Sus scrofa: one gene and its partner. Each later gene encodes a partner of the first gene's protein in a complex. Links are inferred from orthologs where the notes say so. Each region holds a gene or a part of one and is shown in the gene's direction. Other genes may lie near its edges. The genes, in order: MFSD1 and GLMP.

Region 1 (6,426 bases):
AAGTGGTCACAGTTGACTTTGTGTAGAGTTTGGATACTAAATAGTTCTCAAAAAATAGTATTTTTCTTTGATGTTTTGCTTTTTCATTGTATTGAAGACTGTGATTTAAACCTCACTTGGAAAAGTATAGACCATCAATTTCTGGGTTTGTGAATAATGAACATTTTGCTGTTTCTTAATGAGTAATGTGCAGGTCCTTTTGAAATGCATTGAAGAGGCTTGAATAAGAAAATTACCAAAAGACTGAATGCTTTTAATCAATTTCTGTGTCAAATAAGCCCATTCTTTTCTTTTTTTTTCTCTCTCTCACTCTCTCTTTTTTTTTTACTTTTTAGGCCACACCCACAGCACATGGAGGTTCTTAGGCTAGGTGTCCAGTCAGAGCTATAGTTGTCAGCCTACACCACAGTCACTGCAACGCCAGATCTTTTTTTTTTCTTTTTTTTAAAAATTACTCAGTGAATTTATTACATTTATAGTTGTACAATGATCATCACAATCCAGTTTTATAGGATTTCCATCCCACAACCCCAACGCCTCCCTCCACCCCCCAAACTGTCTCCTTTGGAGACCATAAGGTTTTCAAAGTTTGTGAGTCAGTAAGCAATGCCAGGTATGAGCCTCTTTTGCAGCCTGCACCACAGCCCATGGCAATACCAATTCCCCAACCCACTGAGTGAGGCCCAGGATCAAACCCGCATCCTCATGGATCCGAGTTGGTTTAGTTAACTGCTGAGCCATAACGGGAACTCCAGCAAGCTCATTCTGAGTTCAGTCTTGGGCTTCCTGCCCAGAGGGATGCAGATGACATAACTTGTTTAAGCTTTTCACAGGTATGAGGGACATGTAGACATAGATGACATCCCCTCAGAATGCTCTAAATGAAGGAGAGGGAGAGAGAATGTATATGAAAATATGAAAGGGATTCAGAGATGTGTGGTCAGAAATGGCCTCATGGATGGAGCGGGCCTTTTCATCAGTTTAGGATTTGGATGAGTAGAAGAGGGTTGCGAGGCCAGTGTGATGAGGCCAGCTCAGTATAGGATGCAAAGGAGTTGAAGCTCCTAACTGAAAGTCAGTATATAGAACTTACAGAAGGAAAATAAATCTGAGGAAGTGGGAAAATGTTGAGTAAGGAAGATCTTGGCCTGAAAAGTGTGGATCTTTGTGTTTTCACAAAGTATGGGACACTCTTCCCACGTGAACATTTTATAGAGCATAGATGGTGATGTGGTAGCCCAAACTCCTTTTATTGCCAGTCATGGTTATCCTTGCAGTCTATTAAATGACTCACACTTAGCAGTATAAAACAACCATTACTTTGTGGACTTCGTGGGTCAGGAATTTGGACAGGGAACAGTATGGACAGAGTGTCTGTGCACCTGATGTCTGGAGCTTGGGCTGGGATGACTTGAAGGCTGGTACTGCTGACTGAAGCACCTGAACGTGGCCTGTCTTTGTGGCTTAGCTCTCACATCATAGTGAACTTGAGGTAGTTGGACTTCCTACAAGGTGTCTCAGGACTCTAAGTGCAAATGTTTGAGTGAGAGGGCAGATACCACCTTTTTGCAGATGTCACTTTTTATGGCCCAGCCTTGGGATCACGAAACTCCACTTCCACCATATCCTACTGGTTGAAGCAGTCACAAGCTCACCTTGATAGGAGGGGGTGTCAAAATTTTGAACTTGCTGCATTGCTAACTGTGGCATTTCTTTAAAACCTATGACTTTTCTTTGCTTATTTTAGGATTGGTGGAGAGTCCTTAGCAGTTGCCCAGAATACATATGCTGTGAGTTGGTTTAAAGGCAAAGAATTAAACTTGGTATTTGGACTCCAGCTTAGCATGGCTAGAATTGTAAGTATGACAAACATAATGAAGCCAATAGGAAGGAAAAAACTGAATCTTGTAGTTAATCCTTTAAAGATTATAGGATGAAATGTGTTTGTGTGTAACTTAGGTCTTGATTTTTTATATATTTTTCTGGGCCAGAGTATAGCACTTACCTTATTTTAGTTAAGGCATTTCTAACCTTATTTCTCTTAGGAAACAGACTAAAAAGGCTAGTTAAGCATTAATTAGTTCATCTGAGCATTTGGGAGGACCCATTTTTGGCATTCTTGCTATGAAAATCTTTGCATATGGTCATCTGGGCTCTCCTTGCATATTTCTAGTGATTAGAAGCTTGCTGTGTGTTGAGATGGCTAGTCTACTACAATTTACTTTGTGAAGCTCAGCCTCTCCTAGAGATGAAATCTGCTTGCATAAATTGCTTTTACTAATTGCTCTGACTTTTGCCCTCCAGTGAATGTTTATTTCCTTGCTGTGCACCAGCACTTTGCTTATAAAGACAACTCTGAAGGTCTTTGTCAGACATGCTCCTCCCTGTGATTGTCTAAGCCGTGTCTAAGTTCCTGAACCATGGTGCTCCCACCGCTCTGGACTTCATTGCAAGTGGCCATTACTCACCTTGGAACTTGGAAATGATCATGGCTTTTCATGACAAAGCATACCCAGCAGAACAACATTATGCTATTAATGCAACCTGGAAGGTGTTTTGGCCATCCCAAACTCTCTTAGGTTTTTTTCCCCCTTCTGAATGCCAATGGATAGAGTTTTTTTTTGTTTGTTTTTGTTTTTGTTTTTGTTTTTTAAATCCTTGCAATTAAAAATCGAGGCTCTAAGACTATAGATGGCATGAAAATGCTTGTAACATAGTTTTAAGAAAGAAACTTAGTACAAAAAGGTTTTTTTTCTCAAAAAGTTTTTAGTGTAATGTTTAATCTTATGAAATTTAGCACATATATATTCTCTGTGTGTGCGAACATTTCTATGTTTTTTGTACATGAAGGCTTTTTCTAATTTTCCGCTATTAAAATCAGTGCTGTTTTGTGACACTTTAAAACTTGTCTGTATCTCTGATTGTTTCCTGAGGCTTGGTTGCTAAGAATAGAATTATAACTGAGTCAGAGGGTTTCTTAAGATTGTTAAGACCTATTTCCACCTCATCTTCTCAGAGGTTTACATCCCCATCTGTGGGATATGAGAGTGGATCCTTTTTTATGACAGTTTTGATAGTACAGGCTATTATTAAAAAGTCATATTTAGCAAATTGATAGGAAACACCTAAATAATATTTTAATTTGTAATTCTTTGATAACTAGTGTACTGTTCCACATTTTCTAAATTTTATCCATAAGGACGTTCTGGGTACTTCATTATATATCTTGTGCAAGTCAAGATATGTCTAAGGCAGTTGGTGGGTCTCGTCTAATAACTTCCAAAAGAAGGAAATAGGAGAAGTTGAGCAAGACATTCTCAGTGACAACATTGTGGTTACTAGTGACCTTCAGGTTCTTGCCTGTGTGGTCATTAACTAGCTATAATCCATTCACCTGTGTTCTGAGGAGCCCTAGATTTGGAGAAAGGAATCTCAGGATTTTAGGTTACAGTGGTGGGGTAATGGGAATGGTGAGAGGATGTGGAATGAACCAGACCTCAGGCAACCAACCACCTCTGTGTGTCAAACAGGGCGGTGCAGCTCTGATCTGGTTGGTTCATTGAAGGTCCTTGTAAGATGCATGAGATTCTGGGGTAGGTGGAGTTTCATTCTTTTTTGTACTGCTTCTGCCCCTGAACATATTCAGAATGATGACAGAGGCTTGGGCTTTACCTTGCCAAGCTTTTATTGATGGCTGAGCTGTGGATTTGCCTGATTTTAGGCACCTGAACTGTTACCATTATCCCATCAGGCAGTGGACTTCTCACTGTTATTATTCTTCATGTTTTATCTGGGATTTGGAAGTCCAGCACCCTTCTGATTTTCCTTTGTAATTTGTTACTATAGAAAACTCATTGTTTCAATAAGTATTTGTTGAGACTTGGTAAGCCAGGTCAGGTTAGGCATTTTAGAATTAGAGCGTTATTAAGACAGCATGTCTTTGAGGGGCTTATATTTTCATTGATACTGAGAAAAGTTTCCAGTAGGTCTCCATGTATTCCTTATTGCTCGTCTAAATAATGCCGGATGGCTCACATTTTTGAGAAGTAGCCATGTGAGATTTGCTGCTGTATTTGCTGTGACAGTGTGGTCGAGGACACATTCAGTTCTCGGTCTTCAGTGTCTGATCTATCAATAGTATTTGGCGCAGTTGACACTCCACCTTCCTTGATTTCTTCTCTTGGGTTCCAGGACTCTGCAGTTTCATTGTTCTCCTCTTGCCTTTCTCTCTGCTCCATATACCTCTTTTGTTGGTTCCATCTTAATCTTCTCAGCCTGTAAAGGTGGGCTTGGTCAGTGGAAATTTTCTCTTTTCATTTGGCACTCATTTCCTCGGTAATCTTAATTACTTTTGAAACTTTACATAGACTGTCTTTGTTCCTGGAGTTAAATGGTCCAGGTGTTCCCCAGAATTCCTTACCCCTGTGTGCAGCTCCCTCCTTGCCATTTCTGCTTGGATGTCTAGAAGGCATATCAAACTCAATACAGCCAAAACTTAGCTCCTGGTAGCCTGCTCTCATCCCCTACCTAAGCCTATGCTGACGTTTTTCATCCTCAGTTATGGGCAGTTCTTTACTTCCAGTTACTCAGGCAGAGACTTTGATGTCACCCTAAACTACTCCTTACTGCTCCTGCTCCCACTCTGCATATATTTTCCATTAACAGATCCTCTTAGCTTTACCATTAGATAATACCCATATTCTGAGCACTTCTCACCATGCCCATTGCCCCCAGTCCAAGACTTACATCTCTGTTGGCTGCATTTTTGCAGTAGTCCCCAGCTGATGTCCTTGCTTCTGCTTCCTCCCCACTTGTAGTCTGTTTTGAATATAGTGGCCAGAGTGAGTCTGTTAAAACAAGGGATTGTGCCATGCCTCCACTCAAAAACCCCAGTGGCTTCCCATTTCACACAGACTAAAAGCCGATAGTTCTTATTACCTATAGCCCGCCTTTCTACCAGTTCCTTTTTGGGGACCTCATCTCATTCCCTCCCTTCTTCATTGACACTGTTCTAGTCTCTGTCCTCCTTGCCTCGAGTACACTGAGTGGCCTCCTCTCCGGCCGGTCCTCTTCCCCTGGGCCGGTTCTCTTCCCCTGGGTAGCTTCACAGCTTCCTTCAAGCTGTTAATCCACAGTCACATTTTCAGCGAGTTCTCCACCCCTTCGTATTCTCCTTCCATGCTTTATTTTTTCCCCTTGTTTTTTAAAAGAGCTTACTGCTGTTTAATAGACTACATATTTTACCTCTTTGCTATACCACTAAAAAGGGGTAGCTCTTTATGAGAGCTGGAAGCTTTTCTCTTTTGTTCCTTATTATATTCCCAGTAGCCAGAACAATGACAGGCATATAATTGGGGTTCAGTAACTGCTAAATGAAAGAATCAATGTATGAGGATATTATGTATAATTACTGTCTTCTTAAGGACTATCAGGATGAGGTTTTTTTTTTTTTTCAGGTGTCAATATCAAGAAAAGCTGTGTTTTTCTGAGCTCAGGTTTATATTTGTCTTGGGTCCCCTGTGAATTTTGTAACTTGTGTTTCATTTTTGTTTGCGATATAGGAAGTCCTAGCTGTGCTCTTTTTGAATACTAGCGTTTTCTGTAAATTGGCATTTTTGTGTAGTAATCTTTACTGTGGCTTTATCTTAGTTTGCTAGTCTTTCCCTTGTATTTAAAAAAATTTATCCGTTTAATCTGAACTTTATTATACCAATTTCTCTAAGCCATCTCACATCCTTTTTTTTTTTTTTTTTGAGTAGGACAGAGATATAAATGAAAATTACATTTTCCCCCCTTTCTTTCAGGGAAGTACAGTAAACATGAACCTCATGGGATGGCTGTATTCTAAGGTTGAAGCTTCATTGGGTTCTGCTGGTCACACAACCCTTGGGGTCACACTTCTGATCGGTTAGTGAATCCTGTGTCCCACCTTACATCTCTTCAGTTTTTTTTTTTCCTTTCTTTCTTCCTTTTCCTTTTGTTTCTCTGAAAGCTTGTTGTTGGAAGTGTTGTGGCTGAGAGGAAAGAACACCGGCATTGGGGTTAGACCACTTGGTTATGGTTTCGCCTGCCCTGTTCGCTAGTTCTCAGTCCTGGTTAGGTACAGTGAACATAGTGGCATCGTTCAGCCCATTTGTGTTTTTATTTACACGCTCTTAAAAATGAGGGTCTTATTCTGTCATGTCTGCTTTAGTGTCATGGCGAGCAAATGAGAGTGTATACATGAGAACTCTGAAAACAGGAAATTTGTACATGTTAGGTGTTCATTAATAGTCTATAGCAGAAGAGAGAATTGTTTCCCTTTGATCAAAATCAGATCCTGCACTTATGGAGCTTAGATTTTATAGAAGTCAGAGGCAATATGATATGGGGTGAAATCCACCGACTTGGGAGCCAGGAATCTGAGTTCTGGTCCTGGCTTTAACT
Region 2 (7,042 bases), on another chromosome or scaffold:
AACGAATCTGAGTAGCATCCATGAGGACACAGATTCGATCCCTGGCCTCACTCAGTGGGTTAAGGATCCGGCGTCATGATCTGTGGTGTAGGTCGCTCTAATTTGATCCCTAGCCTGGGAACTTCCATGTGCCCTGGGTTCTGCCCAAAAAAGACAGACACACACCCAAAATATACTTAGAGTGGAGAAAAAATAATAGGTGTAATGTCAGAAGATTTACGTGGCAAAAAGATAAAAGGAAGATGTTTGTAACAACACAAAAATTGATTTCCTTGAACTTTTAGGACTTCGCAGTTAAGAAGATAGGGCCTCAGAAAAATAGCTTCAGAGAAACGAAAATAAATGACTAAAGGAGTTCTCTCATTGTGGTGCAGCAAAAATAAGTCTGACCAGTATCCATGAGGATGCGAGTTTGATCCCTGACCTCACTCAGTGGGTTTAAGGATTGCCAGATCTGTGGTGTAGCCATACCTTTCTGTGGTGTAGGTTGGAAATGAGGCTCAAGTCCTGCATTGCTATGGCTCTGGCGTAGGCCAGTAGCTGCAGCTCAGATTCAACCTCTAGCCTGGGAACTTACGCATGCCGCTAGTGCTGCCCTAAAAAAGAGACTAAAACATAAAATGTTTAACCTTACAGGGAAATGAGTTTTTAGAAAGCACTTACTTTCCAGGATGTGGGGGATATGGACCCTCAAACATGGTGTGAGTATTAATTGATGAACCCCATAGAGGGCAATTTGAGCAATTCTACTCCTGGGTACTTAACCTATAGATTTGGTTGCAAATATGTATGAAATGCTGTTCATAAAAATACATTCCTTCCAGTGTTCTTTGCCACAAGAAAGTGTTGCAAACTATCAAGGCTCTGGCTAAATATATTCAGGGAACATTTTCCCCTGCAATGAAAGACTGGAGAATAAGGCAGCTCCAAGTGCATTGATACAGAGCAATCCTCAATATATAAGTGAAAGAGCAAACTGCAGAACAGTACTTGGATTCCAGGATACATAGTATATGTGTATACATATATGTATGTAGTATGCAATAGATATATATGCTTGAGCATTGCATAGAATGTTTTTAGGAAGGATACATAAGCTGGTAATAGCGGTTGTCTCAAGGAAGGACCCAGGTTGCAGAGGAGAAGGGGTGATAATCCTTTGGTACCTTACGAATATTATACCATGTGCATTTATTTTTAGTCAAATAATTTTAGGATTAGGCTAAAAAAAAAAACCCAAATCAAAAAGTGCATTCAGTGGAGTTCCCGTCGTGGCGCAGTGGTTAACGAATCCGACTAGGAACCATGAGGTTGTGGGTTCGATCCCTGCCCTTGCTCAGTGGGTTAACGATCCGGCGTTGCTGTGAGCTGTGGTGTAGGTTGCAGACGTGGCTCGGATCCCGCGTTGGTGTGGCTCTGGCGTAGGCCAGTGGCTACAGCTCCGATTCAACCCCTAGCCTGGGAACCTCCATATGCCGCGGGAGCGGCCCAAGAAGTAGCAACAATAACAACAACAACAACAACAAAAAGGCAAAAGACAAAAAAAAAAAAAAAAAGTGCATTCAGGAGTTCCCATCGTGGCGCAGTGGTTAACGAATCTGACTAGGAACCATGAGGTTGCGGGTTCGATCCCTGCCCCTGCTCAGTGGGTTAACAATCCGACTGTGAGCTGTGGTGTAGGTTGCAGACTCAGCTTGGATCCTGCGCTGCTGTGGCTCTGGCATAGGCCGGCAGCTACAGCTCTGATTTGACCCCTAGCCTGGGAACCTCCCATATGCCGCTGGAGTGGCCCAAGAAATGGCAAAAAGACAAAAAAAAAAAAAAGCATTTGTTTAGCCAGACATCAACTCCCTTTGAAAAATACTGCTTTCATTTTCTATTTTCTGAAGTTTCTTTTCTCAACCATAAAATTGTGAGCTCTTCCAGACAAGAATGTGCATACCTGGAAACTCAGTAAATAGTAATAATTGACAAAAAGTTCCCTCTGAGGTGTGCTATCCCCTGCCCCCACCGCCCCACATTCCTTCAAATTTCCTCTGTGCCTTCCCTGCCTCAGAGTCGTTTTGCAGATTCCATTTGAATCTTGAATCCAGACAACATGCCCACTTACAGCTTAGTTTAGTGGGACAGTTGGGTAGGAGAGGTTGGGAATATTTGGGAATATGTCTGCCAATCTAGGCCAGGATGACTTGCTTGCCAGCTCAGTTGGGGATGATGAACAATGCTTAACTTTTTTTTTTTTTTCCCTTTTTTGCCACACGGTCAGTGTGCGGAAATTCCTGGGCCAGGGATCGAACCTACGCCGCACAGCAGCAACCAGAGCCACAGCAGTGAGAACATAGGATTCTCAACGCGCTAGGCCATCAGAGAACTCTCCGCTTAACCTTTCTGATTCTATTCTCACGCAAGCCTAAATCTGAGTTAAGGGAGGCGGTCTCTTTAAGAACTGCTGTGATGGCCCCGCCCTTTAAAGAGATCAGCTGAATCTCTGAGTCATATGACCCAGCGTCTCTTCCGCCCTCTGAAGTTAGAACTGCATGGGTAGCTGTGAGGAGCCCTGCCGGGGTTGGGGGCACTATGTCCCCAGCCCCGTGCTCCTCCTGAGTCTACTTCTGACAGCAGCTCCTTTTGGCCTGCTGGGGGAGGAAACCCGCCAGGTGAGGGACTAGAGCAATCCTGTTTCAGGATGTGCTGCCTTGAAGGGTGGTTGGAATCTAGGATAACCGAGAGGTGGGGGTGGAGGGTGCTTGCATTGAGAAGAGTTTCTTCAACCCTGGGGGTGGGGACAGCCATGGATCATGGGACAGAATTGAGAAGTAGGATGTATGAGGGCTTCCTGTCTTCCCGGGAAATCTGAACTCTGACTTAGCCCTGAGTAAGCCAGATCCAGGCAAGTATTGGATTTTTTTTTTTTTTTTCTTCTCTCAGCCCTGTGTCCTTATCTCTCCACTAGAGTCAAGGCCGTTTTCTCTACCCACCTCTCCTTACAGCAGGAATCTCTTAGCTCCCACAAGCATTGCTCTTGCCTAGGCCCCAAGGTCCCACCGTTTCCCCATCATTTCCCAAGCCCCCTTCCCTGTCCCCAAACATCTGCCCTGTGTCTCTCCCTGATCCTGTTCCCTTGACCCTCCCACTACTCCATGTTCTAGGTGTCTCTGGAGGTCATCTCTGACGGGCTGGACCCTCCCCAGAACCTGCTTCATATCCATGCAGTGGGTACCAACTCCACACTGCACTATGTGTGGAGCAGCCTAGGGCCCCCAGCAGTGCTACTAGTGGCCACCAATACCCCCCACAGCACCCTGCGTGTGAACTGGAGCCTCCTGATCTCCTCTGACCCTGAAGGGAGCTTGATGGTGCTCCCCAAAGACAGCATCCAATTTTCTTCTGCCGTTGTCTTTACCAGGGTGAGGAGGTTGGGGGAAACCGAAGGGAATCAGTACAGAGGAGAGACTTCATTTGAGTTAGAGAAACTGAAGACTGGGGGTAGATGAAATAGAGGTATGAGAGCCGGGGGTGGGGGGCAGTGACTTGGGGGGTGGTGACTCAGGAGAAACCTGGACTCTGGCAAGCCCAGTCCCTCCTCACCCCCACCCGCCAGCTGTTTGAATTTGACAGCACCAACACATCCGATGCAGTGACAAAGCCTCCAAGAAAATCGTATCCTCCGTATTCCTTGGCTGAGTTCTCTTGGAACAACATCACTGATTCATTGGATCCTGCCACCCTGAGTGCCACATTTCGAGGCCACCCCATTCACGACCCTACCGGGGCTTTTGCCAATGGCAGCTTGGCCCTCAGGGTAAGGGTATGGGGAATCAGAACTCAAAAGGCTGGTTGATAAGGGTGGGAGTTGATGAGGGTCGCCTTCAAACACAGGTATCTGCCTGCTTCCCACGCCTCCCATGCCTCTTCCATCCTAGGTGCAGGCATTCTCCAAATCTGGCCGACCAGCACAACCCCCTCGCCTCCTGCACACAGCGGACACCTGCCAGCTAGAGGTGGCTCTGGTTGGGGCCACTCCCCGGGGAAACCGCTCCCTGTTTGGGCTGGAGGTAGCCACCTTGAGCCAGGGCCCTGACTGCCCCTCAGTGCAGGAGCAGCGCTCCATCGATGATGAATATGCACCCGCTGTCTTCCAGGTCAGGCTTCCTGCAGAGAGGTGGATGGGTGGGAGGCAAAGAGGGATCCAGTTAGGACCTCAGAGAATCATTCAACCATTTGCACTTAGCAACACTATTCAGTTCCTTGAAGTACTGGGCACTGTGGTAATGAATTTAGTCCAGTCTCTGCCCTCAGCAGAGAGGCCAGTCAGAAGGTGGTACAGTGTGACTAGTGCTCTGAAAGGTGGGATCTGCAAGGGCCTCGGGTCCCAGAGGAGAGAGCTTGTTGAGGGTTGAGGCTGGAAGAGGACTCAGTGCCATCCAGTCCAGCTCCCTTTTCTACAGGGGAGAGATTGGTGCAAACAGCCTGGGAATCCTAGAACCAGACCTAGGACTCAGGACAACTTGATGACATGGAGGCTGGGAAGGGGTAGCGGAACAGAAGGGTCAGACACCAACCTCACCCTGCCTATTTGCCTTTCTCCCCAGTTGGACCAGCTGCTGTGGGGCTCCCTCCCATCAGGCTTCGTGCAGTGGCGACCAGTGGCTTTCTCCCAGAAGCAGGGGAGCCGGGATTCAGCCATGCCCTGCCAAGCTTCCCCTCTTTACCCCACCTTGGCATACCTTCTCCCCCAGTCACCTATTGTTCGAGCCTTCTTTGGGTCCCAGAACAACTTCTGTGCCTTCAATCTAACATTTGGAGCTTCCACAGGCCCTGGCTACTGGGACCAACACTACCTCAGCTGGTGAGAGTCTGGGCCTGGGCCAAGGGTTTGGGAGGCTGAAGTGGAGGAGAGCTGGGCCTCCAGCCTTCCCTCCTAAGCCTGCTTACCTCTCCTTCTCACTCTGCTTGCTCTAGGTCCATGCTCCTGGGTGTGGGCTCCCCTCCGGTGGATGCCTTGTCCCCGCTAGTCCTGGGCATCATGGCAGTGGCCCTGGGTGCACCAGGGCTCATGCTGCTGGCAGGAGGCCTGTTTGTAATGCTGGGCCACAAGCGGCACTCAGAATACCAGTCCATAAATTGAGGCCTGCTCTCTAGAGGGAAGGACATTACTGGACCTGCCTTGTAGTCTGCAAGTTTGAGGTCTGTATTCCCAGCCAGCTGCTCCCTTTTCAGCTGCTCTTGCTTTCCTGCAGAACCTCAGAGACCAGCCTCAACTTCCTATGGACCCAGGTGGGGCATCCTTCAAACTCTGAGGAGGGGCCAGGGACAGAGTGATTGCTAGAGGGAGGGTCCCCTTGGTGTTGCCTCCCCACCCTGCCACCCCCCATTTCCCTGGAATGGGACTCACAGGCCTAGATGAGAGGCCTTCTGACTCTTTGCTGCCCTGGAGAGTATGAAATAGATGAATTTTTTCCACAGGGCTTATCTCTCAGTGTGTGAGTGCTGTTGGGCTGGTTTGGGGCTAGTTCCAGGGAATGAGAGGGCTAGGAGATGGGCGTGGAAGGCAAGTTCTTATTTGTGGCCCCATTTCCTCACCAGGCCTAGTCCTCACCCCTGCCACAGGACCAGGCTCCAGCCAGCCACTCTGCAGCATGTGGAGCTGGGAGGTTTCTGGTGCAGCCTGAGTCACACAAGGAAGTGACACTTGAGACTGGGGGGCAAACATGAAGAAAGAGTCAAGGAAGGCGGTGGTAGTCGTTTATTGTTATACACACATTCACACGGGGTTAACGTCAGCCATTATGCCTTCCATCCGCTCCCCAGCCACCAAATGTTTGGGTGCAGGCACACACACACACACACATTCTGGGACGGAGATTTCTCTGTCCACTCCTCTTCCCATGGAGAGGCATGACTTCTGGACAGTTTGGAGGTGTGAGGTTACAGGGACTTAAATGGTTGGAAGGGAGGAGGCAGCCACTCTGGGCTGGAGCAGCTGTAATCGATTTGACTGAGGCTAAGGGCCTGGGAAGGCCGGTTGTGGAAGGTCCTGAACCCAGTCCTCCAGGGAGATTTTCACCAAACATGAAAATCCTATTCGATCTGATGCCCAGTCTTTACCTTGAGGCATGGGCAATATTTCCAGTCTCCTTGAGGCACTTGGCTCAGACAACTGGCACAGAAATGGTTGAAGTTTTGGCTGTGGCTCTACTGGCTGCCTTAGAGGAGGCTGGACAGTGGAGAAGAGTCCAGCCATGGCAGGCCCTAGTGGCAGTGGTGGGAGGCTGCTCAGGAAGGGACTGTGTCTCTGCTCCTGGGCCTGGGCCTGGGCCTGTGCCCTCAGCATCCTTAAGGAACATGGCTGTCCACCTCTTTCCCTGCAAGAATGTCTGAGTCCCTACCTCATAATTATCCCAGGCTCCAAAGATGAAAGGCAGCACCCCAACTCTGGGAGAGCAGGGGACAGTCCTCGCTCTGCTCCCCCAGGTAGCAGGGGTAGGAGCAGAAGAGTTGAGCAGCTCAGCCCCAGAGGCGGGGCCTGTGATCCAAGGCTGAGCGGGCGTGGTCGGGGTAGTCCAGGCGGCTCTCAGAGACAGTGAACATGCGTTCTGGCTCCACCACGAACATGTAGTAGAAGTTCCACACCAGCATGGACAGCAGGGGTAGGAAGGTCAGGCCGAAGCCAAAGCCTCGGAAGGAGCGGCCCACAGCAAAGGTCAGCCAGTATATCAGCCTGGGAGGCAAGAAAAGATTGGGCTTTCCTGGAGGGAAGTACGTCAGCTAACTGGCAATAGGCTGATGACAGGGAGCATAGAAAGTGAGGGAGGCAGATGGGGGCTGGTGGGCACAACTGTTGTCTCTAAAAACAAGCAGTGTTTATGCACTTACGACGTGCTAGGCATAGTACTAATTACTTTAGGGGCACTATTTAATTTAGACCCCCACATCTCTACGAAGTAAGTATATTATTCACCTCCTTTGTTTTCAATTTTTCATTAAAAATTTTTGAGTAGGCAGTGTACATTCACATGGTTCAAAAGTCAGAGGTACCAGT

Evidence for each region.
Region 2: the proteins of MFSD1 (region 1) and GLMP are in contact, whole or in part, in a cryo-EM structure (PDB 8R8Q), measured with the Mus musculus proteins. The link is inferred for Sus scrofa from reciprocal best matches to the Homo sapiens genes MFSD1 and GLMP. Residues at the interface, in NP_080089.1 of Mus musculus: Val288, Glu292, Lys293, Arg295, Phe349, Phe351, Leu411, Asp412, Lys414, Gly415, Tyr416, Leu417, Leu418, Val421, Ile424, Ser428, Leu432, Val435, Leu439; in NP_064387.1 of Mus musculus: Glu250, Asn252, Ser253, Ile254, Asp255, Asp256, Glu257, Pro260, Ala261, Phe263, Gln264, Arg292, Phe364, Leu367, Val368, Ile371, Met372, Ala375, Ala378, Leu381, Met382, Gly385, Phe389.

The regions. Positions count from the first base shown.
Region 1 is NC_010455.5:98,597,729-98,604,154, forward strand, and holds part of MFSD1 (major facilitator superfamily domain-containing protein 1), read left to right. Parts: intron 1-1,747; coding exon 1,748-1,856; intron 1,857-5,804; coding exon 5,805-5,907; intron 5,908-6,426. UniProt on the Homo sapiens protein: Lysosomal dipeptide uniporter that selectively exports lysine, arginine or histidine-containing dipeptides with a net positive charge from the lysosome lumen into the cytosol.
Region 2 is NC_010446.5:93,756,445-93,763,486, forward strand, and holds the start of GLMP (glycosylated lysosomal membrane protein), read left to right. Parts: upstream 1-2,494; 5' UTR 2,495-2,537; coding exon 2,538-2,657; intron 2,658-3,149; coding exon 3,150-3,407; intron 3,408-3,601; coding exon 3,602-3,802; intron 3,803-3,923; coding exon 3,924-4,142; intron 4,143-4,592; coding exon 4,593-4,849; intron 4,850-4,962; coding exon 4,963-5,128; 3' UTR 5,129-6,507; coding exon of another isoform or gene 6,508-6,721; 3' UTR 6,722-7,042. Other genes in the region: TMEM79 (transmembrane protein 79), read right to left, coding at 6,508-6,721. UniProt on the Homo sapiens protein: Required to protect lysosomal transporter MFSD1 from lysosomal proteolysis and for MFSD1 lysosomal localization.